Oryzias latipes: one gene and its partner. The protein of the gene in region 1 purifies or fractionates together with the protein of each later gene. This does not show direct contact. Links are inferred from orthologs where the notes say so. Each region holds a gene or a part of one and is shown in the gene's direction. Other genes may lie near its edges. The genes, in order: cdk13 and ccnk.

Evidence for each region.
Region 2: the proteins of cdk13 (region 1) and ccnk purify together in Homo sapiens (affinity purification with mass spectrometry; 4 studies listed by BioGRID and IntAct, counting the BioPlex papers as one, with this or other methods). This does not show direct contact. The link is inferred for Oryzias latipes from reciprocal best matches to the Homo sapiens genes CDK13 and CCNK.

The regions. Positions count from the first base shown.
Region 1 is NC_019878.2:22,522,395-22,530,755, forward strand, and holds the start of cdk13 (cyclin-dependent kinase 13), read left to right. Parts: upstream 1-3,017; 5' UTR 3,018-3,885; coding exon 3,886-5,006; intron 5,007-5,158; coding exon 5,159-5,710; intron 5,711-5,806; coding exon 5,807-5,968; intron 5,969-6,248; coding exon 6,249-6,388; intron 6,389-6,508; coding exon 6,509-6,679; intron 6,680-6,764; coding exon 6,765-6,954; intron 6,955-7,032; coding exon 7,033-7,089; intron 7,090-7,175; coding exon 7,176-7,277; intron 7,278-7,351; coding exon 7,352-7,429; intron 7,430-7,576; coding exon 7,577-7,693; intron 7,694-7,774; coding exon 7,775-7,906; intron 7,907-7,991; coding exon 7,992-8,188; intron 8,189-8,361. UniProt on the Homo sapiens protein: Cyclin-dependent kinase which displays CTD kinase activity and is required for RNA splicing.
Region 2 is NC_019882.2:3,581,796-3,590,169, forward strand, and holds ccnk (cyclin-K), read left to right. Parts: upstream 1-3,184; 5' UTR 3,185-3,322; coding exon 3,323-3,331; intron 3,332-3,783; coding exon 3,784-4,016; intron 4,017-4,218; coding exon 4,219-4,300; intron 4,301-4,393; coding exon 4,394-4,525; intron 4,526-4,631; coding exon 4,632-4,737; intron 4,738-4,811; coding exon 4,812-4,869; intron 4,870-5,001; coding exon 5,002-5,171; intron 5,172-5,248; coding exon 5,249-5,457; intron 5,458-5,547; coding exon 5,548-5,578; intron 5,579-5,689; coding exon 5,690-5,758; intron 5,759-6,056; coding exon 6,057-6,562; 3' UTR 6,563-7,212; downstream 7,213-8,374. UniProt on the Homo sapiens protein: Regulatory subunit of cyclin-dependent kinases that mediates activation of target kinases.

The DNA.
Region 1 (8,361 bases):
GATGGATGTTTTGTTTTTTACATTTAGGCTGAAGCTCAATAATAAGCCCTGACAAGCTTTTGTTGTATAGTTTTGTGTGTGAAACATCCTTAAAAAAACGTTGCAGTGCGCTTAGGCTGAGAAAGAGTTGAGAGCCCAGGTTTCAAGAGGAAACAGAAAAGCCCCCGATCCACGCTAACGCGACACCGTCTGCTTTAGATGAGTAGACAGTTGGAGTTCAAGGACACGCTCAGTGTCACGGTGGAAATGAAATTCAATGCCATTCCTTCTTACTTTGCAAATATTCCATGTGGAAGTTTTTATTTTTTGTGTCTGTCTGTGATCAACACATGTAGAAAAGAGCACTAACGCTTCCATTTCCTTCCCTCTTCTCCAGGTCTCCTCAAATGCACAAATAACCTTCACCCTTTAGGGAATTTAAACAACAAAACACTTGAACTTTTCAGATGTTTCTCAGCTTTTAGTTTATTTCATCTCAAAATGTTATTTCCTTTTCAGAATAGAGGAATCTCTGGTGCTCTGATAAAAGGTGATTCCGTAACACTAAACCTTTTACGCGCTGCACTCGTTCATGTTTTCAACTCACTTTAATCGCTGACTTTAAATCCCACTTTTTTTTTTGTTTTTTGACATTTATTTTCAAAGAGTTGGAGTATGCTTAAAAAAAAGAAAAAAAGTGAAGTGGTACCTGTTCAAAAACGATGCTGTCGGTTACCAAAGAAAACAGCTAGCTAGTTCAAACAAGTGCCCGCTCACTAATGTAAGTGTCTGAAAACCTGCCATACAGAAAACGGATTATTAAAAAAACAAGAAGCACTACAATGTCTGTGTGAGACCTCAAAGATCAACTGGGTGTCATGGAAAGCAAAATATTTAGCTCTGGACCGCCTGCGAGGAAATGCAAGGTTATGACGGCTTTAGTAACCCTGTGCATTGCATCACTGTTGCCTCTCTGTCCATTGTGAATGTGAATAACGTCCGCTCTCTCTCTCGTCCCGTTTGCCCCCTAATCCGACGGCTCGTTCGTGCGTTCTGCGTCTGTCGGTGTGGCTCATCTGAGGCGGTCAAAGGGCAAAGAAAAAAACCCCGATTCTATATAAATGAGCAAAGAGGAAGTGATCTTGGAGCACAGATGCAGATGGTTCGTGTTTTTAAAAGTCTAATGTTCTTCCCTTTCGACTATTCCTTTGCAGCTTGTGTTAGCGTGGTGGAATCTAGGATTTCAGGCCACTCTCACCAAACTCAAAGAGTAGCAGTCATGTGATTCAAGCTTTTACAAATGGTTTTTCATTTTAAAAGATCTAATTTTTTTGGTTTATTTGGGTGTCAATCCATTAGGCGCCCCCTGCAGGCCGTTGCCACTCTGCCTCCACTCTGTTTAAACTGAGAGTAAGTCTATGCAAAAAAAATAAAATAATAATAATGATGTTGCTTGATTTGCAAAGAAGGAACCTGAAACTGAAGTTGGTCTCCATAAACTACCTTACAAAGCTGGAGTGTTTTGGATGCACTTCAGCTCCAATGACGAAGGATGGCGTGATGCGGCGTTGCCCAGAGGCTCTTGAAATCAATCTTTTTACTATTAATGTTCTTGTGTTCGTCCATCGTCTCACTAGTTGGTGAAACAGAGGAATGCTTGTGGAGTTAAGAGCACACAGAGGAGTTAGTTGGATGTGAACCTTAGGGAGCGTCTTAAAGTGACCGGCACGGACGGATTTAACTCGTCACGGGAACTAGCATCGTGCTTGCTTATCGTACTATCAGCCTAACACACTCGTCTACTTTTAAGTGGAAAATCAGAACTATTTTTTATTTTATGCATAATTGTATTGACTTTATGGCCCAAAATGTTCAACATGATGCAAAATAAAATGTTTGTGTGAACGCTATGAGCAAACTGTCCCACTGGGTATTCAAATACCTTCGGTTTGCCTTTTATATAAATACCTGTAAATGAAAAAGAAATATGGATGTCTTTTGGCTGGATGGTTGTATGTATGCCACCAGTTTAATGTTTCCTTCATGTTTACTTTCTTTTTGTTTTGTTTTTTTGAGCGTAACCACTAATGTAGCCTTTTTGTGAATGCAAGAGGTGAAGCTTACATTTCAATTCATATTCTGTGAGTTCTTTGAAAGTGGCTAATAAAATGGATATTACTAATATCTTCCACATGTGTTTGTTTTTTCTACTGTCTGTCTTAGTGAGAAACTCTAAGAAATGTTTCTAAATGGGATCATTTCTGCAGATAGCAATGAAATGTGAAAGCATGGGCATATGGAACGTTTACTTTAAGCTCTTAATTGACGTTTTGTCCCAATATTAAATGAATTAACTTCACAACTCAACTGTTGAACCAAGAACTTTAAAATTAAAAGAATCTTTAAGAAAATAAAGAACTAAAGATTAGGTGTTTAGAAGAAGAAAAGTACATAAACAAATCATAAATGTGCGCAATAATAATGAAAAAAATCATTTGTTTTTGTTAGTTCAGGCCCCTCTAGAAATAGAATTTTCAGCAGTATTATAGTTTATTTTAAGAACAAAAATATATATATATATATATATATATATATATATATATATATATATATGAAGAAAAGTTATGTCTCATATACTAATGGCAATAAAAGAAACAGAAGGGGGGATTATATGCTAAAAAACCTGATGTAATACCCAAAATATTGAAAATAAAAATCTATTTAAACTGATAAATTATCGAGAGGAAAAGGTATTTTTATTAGACAATATATTTAAAAAATCAAATTTCGTTCTTTTTCTTTGGAGGGGGTTATTATGCAATTGTCTTTGAACACCTCCCTCCATAAAATGTTTGTGTTTATGCTTATATTTGTCATTAAAAACATTTTCTAATGTAAATGAACCGCAGGAAAAATACGTCGCCCTTTAATTAAAAAAAAATCAATTTTGTTCTATTTTGAAGGGAAGGGTTCCCCTCGTTGTGACGTAAGCTCTGACGTAAGTTACGCACTGGGTTCCTATTGGTTCGTTTCTACGTAGAAGGCCTGTAGTTCCAAAGCTGTGGCCCAAGCGAGCTGCACCGTTAGCCACAATGAAGTTGTGTGAAGTATTTTGAAATAGATTCGAGGATTTGATCTAAATCGCTCCTCGATGAGAGTCATCGCGTTCCGGGATCGTGGAGGATGTTATTAGACGGAGGAGAGTCTCTGCGGTGAAGGTTTAGGCGGACGCGCCTTTGAATGTTTTACTTCAAATTCACTGAGTTGAACTCCACAGAAGGAGAAAAGAAAAGCCGACCGGCTAAGTTGCTAGCAGGGAGCTAGCCTCCGACCTCACTTCCTTGTTGCATCTACGAGTGTGATGGAAGGCAAGAAGTTTTTATGGAGGCGTCTGACTTTTTTTATTGTTCGTTTTTTAAATGTGCACTGATAGCTTTTTGTTTTTATGGACATTTATAATTTAGAAGACGTTGGTTTTTTAATAATTCTAAGTTGTTTCGGGTCATTGCGAACGTTCACCATGAAATGGGAAAACCACTCTGTAGCCGAACTGCTAGCTACGGCGGACTAGCGGGCTAAACCGACTAGCCTTCGCTATCAAATCCTGGATATGTGGGCTTTTCGCTGGAACACGGCGGTTAAGTATTGTTTGTTATAAAATTGCTGTAAATTAGTTGTGACTAAATCCTTAGCACCAGCTTCTACGGAGCATTACGATTGTTTGTATCGGGAATTTTGGTCTTAATAATAGCCACTGAATGCTAAAGCTAGCGATTTAGCTAGCTGTAATGTCAGCTTAGTAGCCTGTTACACAGCTAGCCCAATGTTGTGTTTTATGAATCGACAGGGGCACGTAGTTCATATTTTATAAACTTATTCCTAACTCATCCGTTAATTGAGACATAAATGCCCAACTCGGAGGTGCTTCGCGACGGGCGGGGAGGACGGAGCCCCTCGGAGCTCCAGAATGCTAACAGGCAGGGGAGGCGCAGCAAAGCGGCGAGCGGTACCACCGCTCCGCGAGACAGGCGCCGCGAGAAGGGACGGTCGTCCGCCTCCCGGAGGAAGAAGCGCAGGCAGCAGAAGGACCGACACCTGTGGCATGCGGTCACAACGGACGGCCCCGACAAGAGAAGTGATTTCGACAAGGAACTTGAACTTCGGACGTTAGTAGAATACGACGACGTGAGCTCCCAATCAGAACGATTCTCCGGTAGCCCCTCTCCTAAAATTGACCCCCACGCTGACAATCTCCCAGCGGATCCCCTCAGCTCTGTTAACTTTGAATATAATGGACCGGCCTCCCTGGCCAGGGGTCAACTAAGAGACCGGGAAGCAGTTTACCTCAGTAAAGAGTTCAGAGGACCATCCGAGAGGAGCAAACAAGATAAGGACTTGTCCAAGAAAAAAGATCACCAGAGTCGTGAAAGAGACTCCTTAAAAGTCAGAACTGGAGGTAGCCTAAGCGGCTCTAAAACCGCCACACGGAGCGGCGACAAAAATGGCAAAAGGACGTCTTCGTCTTCTCAATCGGCAGATAAGAAGAACGCAAAAAGGCACAGAAGCAAAACGAGAACTGATAAAGAGACGCCGTCTGCGTACAGAGACGCGCCACAGTCTTATCGAAACGACCGCGAGGACCCCAGGGCGTACAGAAAAAGTCCTGGTTTTAAAACTGACAGTCCCTATGGGACATCCTATTCCCTTAACTACCAATCTCCTGGTAACTATGCCCAGCTGGCATCTAGAAGAAGTCCAACTTATGGAAGTAAAAGACATTCTCCCAGTGCTACGTATTTCAACCGGGATGATGTGTATGGCGGATATGGAATGCCAAAGTCACCCACTTCGTATTCAAGCAACAAGAGGAAGCGATCGCCCGCGAGCCCAGCCAACTGGAGGAGGTCACCAAGTTACGGTCGACACAGCCCTTTCGAACAAGGAGAGTTCGTCTCAAGTCCTTATGGAAAGCGGAGGAAGTCACGGAGTCCATACAGGAAGTCCCTGAGCCCCAGTCCAGATGTCAGGTGAGGTTCTTCAGCGTTGTAGTAGGCCTTAAACATTTTTATTTATTTGTTTAGTATTGATTTATTGGGAAAAACCTGCTCTATATGTCAGAAATATACCATAACCTGTCCTGCTTTTCAGTCTGAGATTTCACCCATAATTCTCTCTGCAGGAGACCCGCAAGGTCACGCAGCAGAAGTCCCTTTCCATCCTCAAGGCACTCGCGCTCCCACAGCCGCCACCGACACTCTCGCTCCCGCAGCCGCCCTTCCAGCCTGTCGCCGAGCACGCTCACCTTCAAGAGCAGTCTGGCCGCCGAGCTCAGCAAGCAGAAAAAGGTCAAAGCCGCAGAAGCGGCCGCAAAGGCCAAAAACTCGAGCAACACGTCGACTCCAACCAAAATGCCGTCGTCTGCTCACCAGCCCAGTCCCAAATCCAACCACACGGCCAAGAAAGGACGCCCCCCCTCACCGCCTGCCCCAGAGAAAGGGCCCCGGACCCCCACATCCAACCAGCCTCAGTCTCCTGCAGATAAATTGAAGAAGACAGCAGAGCACCAGAGCAGCAGTAAGGGGAAAGAGGACCCTCTACACCGGGACAAGAAGAAAGCCCCGGCGTCTGGGCAGATCAAAGACAAGGACAGAGCCGCTGGCCCAGTTATCTCCACTCTGCCACAGCTGCCACTGCCCCAAATAGTTGCTGAGAACGCAGACAAAGGAGACAAGTATGTAACCTCCTTCACACTCCTCAGCACTTGTATTGTAGCATCCATGCGGCTTTATCTGATTGTTTTTGTCTGTCTGCTCTCCTCCATTCATAGTTTGAAAGACGGCTCGCTTCCGGGCAAAAAGAAGCTGGAGAAAAAAACGCGCCAGCTTCTGACTGACCTCCCCTTGCCCCCTGAACTCCCCTGCCCCTCGGTTTCTCCAAGCAGCCCTCCCGATAAGCTGGAAAAGTCCCAAACATTTCGACGAAGACCAAAGTAATTTCCCTTCCCTGCAGCTGTGTAGACCCACTCTACTGAAAATTGTGTATTTCTTGTTGCTTTTTTCCAATCTACTGAAAATTGTGTATTTCTTGTTGCTTTTTTCCAATCTACTGAAAATTGTGTATTTCTTGTTGCTTTTTTCCAATCATGTCAAGTCATCAGTTAAGCTTAAAATGGCATTTCTGAGGATTTCTATTTCTAGAAAATGTTTAAAGTGGGACTTTTAATATCGACTTGATGGTTATTTACTTCTTGTTTGCTTCTTTTTTACCAGAATTTGTGGCCCGAGGTTTGGCGAGATCAAGGAAATCGAGATAGATTGGGGTAAACGGTGTGTGGACAAGTTTGAGATCATTGGAATCACAGGAGAAGGCACCTACGGTCAGGTGTACAAGGCCAAAGACAAAGACACTGGTGGGTTTCCTGAAAATGTTTGCTCATTCATTCTCTGTGTTTACCCTCTACCGCAGTCAGTGGATTCAGCTTGAGTTGGAAAAAGCAGAGCAGACTCATTCTCAGGTTTGTTTCGCTCAGGTGAAATGGTGGCTCTGAAGAAGGTCCGTCTGGACAATGAGAAGGAAGGCTTTCCGATCACGGCCATCAGAGAAATCAAGATTCTGCGACAGCTGAACCACAAGAGCATCATCAACATGAAGGAGATCGTCACGGACAAAGAGGACGCTCTGGATTTCAGGAACGATAAAGGTAACCGTTGAAATTTAAAAGTTATTTTAAAACTTTAAGAGTTGAGAGGTTAAAGTAGCTTTTTTTATGTTTTTTTTAATTCCAGGTGCTTTCTATCTGGTGTTTGAATACATGGACCACGACCTGATGGGTCTGCTGGAGTCTGGCCTGGTTCACTTCAACGAAAGCCACATCAAGTCCTTCATGCGGCAGCTGCTGGAGGGTCTGGATTACTGCCACAAGAAGAACTTCCTCCACAGAGACATCAAGTGCTCCAACATTCTGCTCAACAACAGGTGAGGCTGGAGGCAGAAATCACAACAACCTCCAGGATGTTTCACAACGTGCTTAATCGTTTTCTCCCTCCTAATCAGGGGTCAAATAAAGCTGGCAGACTTTGGCCTGGCTCGGCTCTATAACTCAGAGGAGAGGTGAGTCTTGTGTTTTATGACTGGACTTTATGATGGTTGGTTTGTGTTTCTTTTACTCGTGTGTGTCGCCGTGTTTCCACTTTCAGTCGACCGTACACGAACAAAGTGATCACGCTTTGGTACCGCCCGCCGGAGCTGCTCCTGGGGGAGGAGAGGTACACCCCCGCCATCGATGTGTGGAGCTGCGGGTAAGGGCGGCGTTCGTTCAAAGCCAGCTGGTGTTCGTCCGTCGTAGTTTTTCATGTTGGCGATTCTGTCACAGGTGCATTCTGGGAGAACTGTTCACAAAGAAACCCATCTTTCAAGCCAACCAGGAGCTTGCTCAGTTGGAGCTCATCAGGTGAGAAGCAGCTACACTTTTCCGGGGGTTTCATGTTTGGACGGCCGGGTCTTTTCAGTGAAAATGTTATTTTTCTCTGCGTTTTTATGGAATTGTCTCTGTTATGTCGCAAATTGGGAAGAAAATGGGGTTATATGTTTGTTTCAGTCGTATTTGCGGCAGTCCTTGTCCCGCTGTGTGGCCAGATGTGATCAAGCTTCCGTTCTTCAACACCATGAAACCAAAGAAGCAATATCGGAGGCGGCTCAGAGAGGAGTTTGCTTTGTAAGTCAGTTGACGCAACTCTAGACTCGTTTCCCAATAACCTGACCTTGTGATAACGCTGGCGGTCTTGTGGTCGTCCAGCATCCCTCCGGCGGCCTTGGATCTGTTTGACCACATGCTGAACCTGGACCCCGGCAGACGCTGCACGGCCGAACAAGCGCTGAGCAGCGAGTTTCTCAAGGATGTGGATCCCGACAAGATGCCTCCACCCGAGTGTGTTCCGGGTCACTTTTATCTCCTCGCATCTGCCCAAAGTCTTCTGATTTGTAACTTTTTTCTCTTCTTTTTTTATTTTCAGCCTCCCCCTTTGGCAGGACTGTCACGAGCTGTGGAGCAAGAAACGGCGGCGGCAGAAGCAGATGCCGGAAGAGCTGGTGGCTCCAAAAGCGCCGCGTAAAGAGCTGGGTCTGGACGACAGCCGCAGCAACACTCCACAGGGCTTCGCGGCGCCCGGCGCCATGAAGACCCAGAATGCGGCCGCCTCTGTGCTGCTCGGTGAGGACGCTCAACTGGAGAATAACTCGCAGCTTAAGTTACTGTCTGCAGAAGACAAACGTTGAAGAAAATCCAGATTCTTCTATAGCCTAGCTGTCATGTAGATTGGTGATAAGTATCCCATCACTGCCTCATCACTTTTTCTTGAGTCGCGTTCTTCCGATTGACGCGTT
Region 2 (8,374 bases), on another chromosome or scaffold:
AAAAAAGGACATTAATAAAATATCCAATATGATGGAAAAGTGTCCATAATACAATTTTTAAGAACATTCTGGGGACTGCTTTATTTATTTATTTTTTTCTAGCCCAGATTTAAAGAATAATAAAGGCTTTTGATGTGATTAACCACAAAGTGACAGGGCTGACATAAACAATGAAAGGTCCACTCCAGGAGAGCTGCTGGTAATACGAATATTGCTGTGGGATTTGCTTATATTCGCTGCTTCATTATGCAATATTTAATATTAATAAAGAAAGTATAAGTATATATTATTTATAAGCTGATTTACTGCAGTTGTGTGAGTGTGTGGTTTGAATGACAGATTGAGATGCTCCTTTGCTACAGGCGATACAAGTAGACAAGGCTCTTACTTTTCTCCAGAACCCAACCTGACAATTTCTCCCACAGTTAAGAGGATTTGTCCGAGCGGGAGTAAATATATAATGCATGCATCTTCCAAAAATTTATGTGGACAGAGTAAATGTTTTAATGCTGGCTTTTCTGGGAAATGAAGACTGGAGGGGCAAATGGAGAGGGCTCCACAGGACTTGTGGTTCTGCTCTATTAGTCATATTTCAGGCATAAACAGAAGATGGTTCTTTGGTCATACAACAATGGCACTCAGGAAAAATGCTCATGTCATCCAGAGTAAAATACTCAATTACAAATGGTTGCAGCAGCTCTTTGCTGCTATCTATCTATCTATCTATCTGTCTGTCTGTCTGTCTGTCTGTCTGTCTGTCTGTCTGTCTGTCTGACACTGTTTCACGTGTATTTGTCTCCCTCTAGTGGTAGTAATTGAGAATGGCATTGTCTCGGTGTAAATAATTGAATTGTGGTTTGTTTGACGCAGCAGCCTCATTTAAACATAAATAGTAATTCATTAAGGTGTGTTTTCTATTATTAATAAATGGGAAAAGTACTAAATCATTATAATTTCCTCAAAAAAGCAGTTATTGCTCTATTAATGCTCATAAACATGCTCTCTGATTTTGGACTTTCAGAGAATACCTTTTCCACGACACATAAAATATTCTTGTTTGGCACTTCAGTAATGTTGGTCTTATAATGTTACTTATTAGAGTTACATTTCTACATATGAAATCTCACTGTAAGTATTTGATGTAACAATAAAACATGTAGATGAGCAATTTCTTTCCCATTTTTAATACTAGTGAACTTTAAGGACAATACACTCTTTCACACAACAGAAACGTAATCGCGAATACTTTTAGCACCGAAAAAATAAATCTATATAAAGTTAGAGGGAAAAAGACTGTGATTGTGAAAAGCAGAAACAGAATTAAGCAGAAAAGTACTTAAAAATGAAAATAATAAAATAAAAATCTAGGTCATAAACCTGTTGAATAAACACACAAACACAAATATGTATTTTTTTTGTGTTTATCTGAAAGATGTATACTGATGATTTTTGCTTTACAGTAAATCCCCTTTTTTAACCAAACTTTATTGAACGCAACAATCAAATACACAACAGTTCAAGACAACAACAGGAAAGGAACAAACCAGGCGGTTAATATTAGATTTTACACAAACTGACGCACAGATCGAATGTTTTAATGGCCTTCTTATTGTCATAGTTTCTTATTGTCTTCATGCATTGTTTGAACTCATTGATAAAGATAGAAAAATAAGGGGTTTGATTTGTAACTTTGGATTTATGAATGTGCAATTTGTATAAAAAAACAATAAGAGATTAATGCTGTATGATTGTTCTTTTTATGAGATGGACAGTGGGTGAGGCCAAACATAACATGTTCTAAATAGAGTCTGTGTCAATGTGGGCGGATATGAAATTGCAATCTTTAGACCAGAGACTAGTGGAAAAGGGACATGATCAAATAAATGTACAGCATCTTCAGGGTGTTCTTGACAAAAAGAGCAGGTGACATCAACATCCTTTTTGAACCTTTGGAGATACAGTTTGGTTGGGTAGACTTATGGATTAGTTTAAATGAGATTTCTTTCACTTTATTGGTTAAGAAATATTTTTCTGGTAGATTCCAGATCTTTTTCCATGATTGGTAAACTCAATTATTCCAATAAAGTACATAGGGAATGGACACAACATCCTTCTGAAAGAGTGAGCACATGCGGCGATTTGTGTTACGTGAAGAAGAAAAACAGATTTGACCTATTTGTATTTTAGTTGGGTCAATTGGTAATAAAGTTGGACTCTGCAATGATGTTAAAAATCACATTTTTCCACCAGTGTGTTACTGTAGCGTTTCCTCTTTTCTTTTTTTTCTTTCAAAACTTTATTGAAGATGTACAGGATACAAAATCAAGTCAGTTTTTAAGTACACAGATAAAAAAAGAATAACAAAATGTGCCAGGGGAACATAAAGAATAAAGGACGAAAAAAGATTATAAACAAGAGCAGTCAAAGCAGTAAGTTGCTATTCTATACATTTAAATAACGTTTTCTCTTCTTTTTTTTTAAACTTTATTGTACAAAACGTAAGTACGATACAAAACACAATTTTACTAAATAAAATTCAGATATGCCAGGGGAGCATACATACTAAATACATTTTACATAAAAACATTCAGGTTTCTGCAACTTTCATATAGACATACTGCTTTCTGATTAAGACTCTTGGAGATGTTACTGATATACATTTCAATTTGTTTGATTAAAATAGGGAAAAATAGAAGATGGAGAAAATTTAAATGTATGTATATAAAATTTGCCAAAAATAATAACAAGATTAACTATGAGTTTTTTTGTTTGACTCCAAATTTTTATTATGAAGGCCAAAAATTATATGTTCAAACTTTAGATTAAAGTTGGGGTGAATGCGATTTCTAATAAATTGCAAACATTTTTTCCAAAATATTCTAATTATAGTACAATTCCAAAAAAGATGGTCAATTGTTTCTGGAAATTCTTTGCAAGAAGTACAGTTAGGGTCAATTGTTTTAATGTATTTTAGCATAAATTGATTGGTGCGGTAAATTTTGTGAATTATTTTATAAGAAACTTCTTTCATTTTATTATTTATCATAAATTTTTGGGTCACAGTCCAGCCTTTCTTCCAGATACTGTCGGGAACAAAACGTCTCCAGTAGGTTCTACGTAGTACACGGTAACGTTTTCTCTTCAAGCAGCGCACGCGGTTGCTTGTGACGTCATGACGTCCGTCAGCCGCACTTGACGTTCTTCAAAATGGCGATTCTGTTGTGCCAGCGGGTGTTCTGTTCGAATCTGTCGCTAACTTTGGGTGAATAACTGAAGTCTCGTGTCGCGTTTGTGCTCTCCGGTTAATCCTGTCGTCGCCTACATGATAAAGGTACGTGCTGCGTCCTTCCGCCGGAGTCCGGTGACTCCAAATTTGACTTATTTATCGTAGCTTGTCGGCTCCGGCGGCTTTGCTAGCCGTTAGCGGGTACATTCATTCAGTTTCATCGCTTTACTGGCCGGCATGTTTTGGGAACATCCCCCCCCCCCCCCCCCATTATGAGTTTTTGTTTTTTTTCTTCAAAAAAAAATCCCAATTTTTAGGTTTATTTATTAATATACTTGCATCATTAAAGAGAAAGCGGTGAACACTGGTGATCATTTTCTAAGCTTTTATTAATTTGTGAATCTCTGGCTTTTATTTTATTTTTTGGACGTTTTTACACGACTCTCTAAATAAATTTAGGCCCATTTAAATACAAAATTGTATTTAAATCAGAATGAAAGAGCTACATCTGACTGACCAAAGTTGTCCATAATATCGACATTTATTGCTATTTTCAGCAGTCCAGCAGCACAGCAGGTCCATCCACCACCTCCCCTCAGTCAATGAAGGAGTCCAAGGACTTCTCGGGCGGCCAGTCCTTCCTGGATCACATCAAGCCGTGCTGGTACTGGGACAAGAAGGATTTAGCCCACACCCCTTCCCAGTCCGAGGGTCTTGACCCCGGGACCGAGGCCCGGTACAGGAGAGAAGGAGCCCGCTTCATTTTTGACGTGGGGACTCGACTCGGCCTGTATCCTCGATGGGTTCAGTAATCTGAGCAACGGGTCTCAGTTTGCAGCTATTTGAATGCATTCTCTGTACATTTAGCTCACTTGTTTATCATGATTGGGCGATTTTAAGGCTTCTATTGTGCATGAAGTAAACTCCTATGGTGAGGGATTTACTGTTTCTATGCTTCTGTCCTTCTGAAATGGATTCTTAACTGCCAGCAGACATTATGACACTCTTGCAACTGGCATCATATATTTCCATCGCTTCTACATGTTTCACTCCTTCAAGCAGTTTCCCAGATATGTATGTTCATGATTTATTTACTCTTTTGGTATTTTTTTTTTTTTTTCATTAACACAAAAGCTAATGTGGGATTTTGGGTTTGTGTTTCTACAGGTGACGGGTGCCTGTTGTCTTTTCTTGGCTGGGAAAGTGGAGGAAACGCCAAAGAAGTGTAAAGATATCATTAAAACAGCTCGCAGTTTACTCAACGATGTCCAGTTCGCCCAGTTTGGAGATGATCCGAAGGTGCAGTTCTATTTTAATAAACAGTTTTTTTTTTTTGAATCTTTCATGCCACACATTTCTGTGAGTCTGAAGTGCAGGACAGTCATGTCTGACCTTGTTCAAACAGGAGGAGGTGATGGTGCTGGAGAGGATTTTGCTCCAGACCATCAAGTTTGACTTGCAGGTGGAGCACCCTTACATGTTCCTGCTGCGTTACGTCAAACAGCTGAAAGGTGGGACGGGGTTCGTGCAGAACCGCTGCCCCAATGGAGCTCAGAAAGACTCATGTTTTGTTTTGGTGCTTCAGGAGACAAGAACAAAGTATGCAAGGTGCTCCAAATGGCCTGGACCTTCGTCAATGACAGGTAAGAGGTGCTGATTCTCGCATTGAGCTTTTAAGAATCTTGTAGTTGTTGCTAAATGTGTGTTTGAGTTAGAATAAATCGATCTACACAGTTGAGATAAGGCCTTCACTGCTTTATTTGCGTCCCTGGCAGCCTGTGCACCATGCTGTCCCTGCAGTGGGAGCCGGAGATCATCGCCGTGGCCGTCATGTACCTAGCAGGCCGACTTTGTAAGTTTGACATCCAGGAGTGGACCTCCAAGCAATCGTCGCGGCGTTGGTGGGAGCAGTTTGTGCAGGACGTCCCAGTTGAGCTGCTTGAAGGTTAAAAAAAAAAAAAACTTTATTGTTTTCCTCAAAAACGTGGGGCTTTCAGTCACAGCTTCCTTTGGTCCCTTCAGACATCTGCCACCAGATCCTGGACCTATATTCTCAAGGGAACAAGCCCATCCCTCAGCAGGTCCAAGAGAAGGAGAAGACGGCGGCTGTCACACCCACTGCGTCGCCGGTGCCGCAGGGGCAGCTCCCAGTTTCCAACCCGCCTCCCCCACCGCCAAAAAAGACGTCGCCGCAGGGGGGCAGTCCCGCACGGCAGCTCAAACGCTCCCACGTAAGCAGGAGTCGTCTACGCAGCAGCTGTTTAACATCATTACGAGCTGTCAGATGGTAAACTCGCTTTTTTTTTTGTAAATTCTTTCAGACATCCCCTAAAGATGAACCAAAGGCTCCAGGTGAAACAATTTCTTCGTTTTTTCGCAGAAAAAATCTGCAAGAGAGAATATTTTAAATATTTGTTCCGTTTTTTTTTTTTTTTATTAATTTTTTTAATTTTAAATTTGCAGAACAAACTGGATCAAAAATTCCCCGACTGGAGAGTCCCATGCCCCCACTACCGGCTGTTCAACCACCAGGTGAGCAGCTGTTCCTGAACTTCTGTTTGTGTTGAACCGAACAGGATTAGTGTTTATACTCCAGTTTGCTGATCTGATGGCAGATTTATTGTTTGCATGTTTGGCTAGATAGGAACTGAAGCTCATAAATCAGACTTATGTAATCAGTTCGTCTGTTTCAAAACATGCAGGCTGTTCCAGACCAATCTGATTAGGGCTTAATCCAAACGAGGAGGGCTCCTCTTTTCATTGTTGGAGAACTGAGGTCATTCGAGGTCATGAAACATCTAACTTGTTGTTTTTTCTCCTCCTGTACCAGCTCCTCCTGCAGAAGCAGAGCCAGGAAGTGAAGTGGCTCCTCCTCCCCCTCATGCTCCACCTCCCCACCAGCCCCCTCCCCTGCCCCATCGCCCTCCACCTCCTCCACCCTCCAACTACCTGATGTCCACCAACGCCTCGTACATGTCCGGAGAGGGCTTCCAGAGCCTGCAGTCCATGATGAAGACAGAAGGTCCCTCTTATGCCCCCATGCCCCCCGGCTATGCTCCTCCAATCCCACCATACCACCCGCATGTCTATCCACCGCCTGCAGCGCCCCCTCCAGGACCCCCACCGCCTCCTTCCACGTATCCACCTCCCAGCTTGGCCCCAAACTACCCGCCGCCGGGCTACAACAGCTACCCTCCGCCTCCGCACATGCCCCCCGGGATCGGCCTACCGCCTGCGGGATACCCTCCCCCACCACCCGTGCCCCCGGGACAAGCCCAAGTGCCTTTGCCGCCCCCACCTGGCATGCCCTTGAACCGTGGAGCGTGGATGAGATGAGGACGTTTGAAAGACTGTTGACACCTGAGCTGATGAGGAAGAGTGGGAGGTCTGTAAACGTTGCTTTTCTAATCTAGAAGGTGAATTCTCCAACACCCAGTAGCTCAACTTACAGTCACCGCTCACGTCTTGTACCTTCACCGCCGTCTGCTTTTCCATTGAAATTTCCTGTGAATTAGCATCTTTGTCTTTGATTTTTTCTATGAAATCCACCATAAAAACTGGGCTGCAGGATCTGAACGAACGTTTTCATTTTATACAAGCAACACTGGCTTCAGGAGTATTTGTGCTGCAGTTGAGACGCTTTTGTTTGAACTTCTGTTTTGTTTTTTCAATAAACTGTGCTTCACACAGTATTAAAGGAGAAGCAGTAGAGAAAAGATTTCTCATTTAAGTCTCTGGACCATTTCTTTTATAGGAAAGCATCGATGTGCTCCTTTATAGCGTTTTAATGACAATTCTGATTATGAAATCACTTCATGCCGACGTTCTTTCTTGAGTTAATCCCACAGGTTACTTTTGAAAAAGGAGTTTCAGAACGAAACCCACCAGTAAATCTGGCCTTTATAAATTCAATAATTGTTAGAGAATGAAAAAAGTTAAACGAATGTTTGAAAGTTACCTATAACATTAAAGGCGCACTTTAATCATCTTTTGATCCTAGTGGTTTTTTTTAGGATTATGCAGTTTTTAGCCAATAGTATTTGTTCACTTGCTGCTGATTCCCAACGATTTGAGTAAAGAAATACTCAAATTCAACTTTGAGCTTAACTTTTCTTCATACATGTCCTCCATCATGGGAAAAGTACCACAATGGTGTTAAAAACACCATTTTCATTATAGTGGTGCAGCTGTACTTATTCACCAGCAGAGGGCAGTGTGACTTAGGCAAACAACTGTTAAAAAAAGAGTCCACAGTGTTGTTAAGCAACTGGTTTATTTCATTTTCTCAGATTTGAATAAAAATGTTCTCATTTGTTTGTATCAGTGAAATTCATGAAAAGAAGTCATGCTAGTTGCAAGAATACACATTTATACTGTAGGTTTGCAGGGTTTTTTTTTTTAGTATATAGATAAAAGCATCATAAAAGTTAGAAATAAAAAAAGTTGGGTTCCAAATTAAAACGCATTGGAAAACAATGCGGAACATCTCAAACCAAATACCATTTATTTATTTATACAGTATCCAAAATTGTGTCATGGCTTCAAATCGGTTCCTAGAAAAAAGGACACTTTTAAAAAATAATACATTTATTTCTCTTTTTGACCCATTATTTAAGCAATGGGTCACTTCAGAAATGTTCTAATTTGGAACAAAATTGTTCTAGAGACGGGAGAGCTTGATGAACGGATCTGTTCAGGTACTGGTTGCTCTCGATTCTCTACGTTCACACTCAACAATAAATACACGGACAAACTTGAGTTTGTTCACTCTGACATCAACAGATACTTATTGTTTCAAAGTGAAGACTTCAAAAAGGAAGACTTGCCTGGTCTAGAAAAAAGCACGGACACCTGCTGAATCCAGAAAACCTCAAAATCAGGAAGAGGTTCGGATGGGATTGAACGTGTTTTCTTTTTTTTGCAGTTAAAGTACTACCGCCTTTGTGTGTGAATTCAGAAAACTGTTCAAAACGAGCCCAAAAAAACCCAAAATCAATGATGCTACAGCTGCAGGAGAACGGTGTCACCTGAAAACACAGTCACAGATGGGTGAAGGTAAAGCTGCAGCCCTCCAACCTGAGAAGGTGATTGTCTGGCATGCACACAGCATACGGGGTTTGTTAGTTTCTCTTAAAAATAAATAACCTG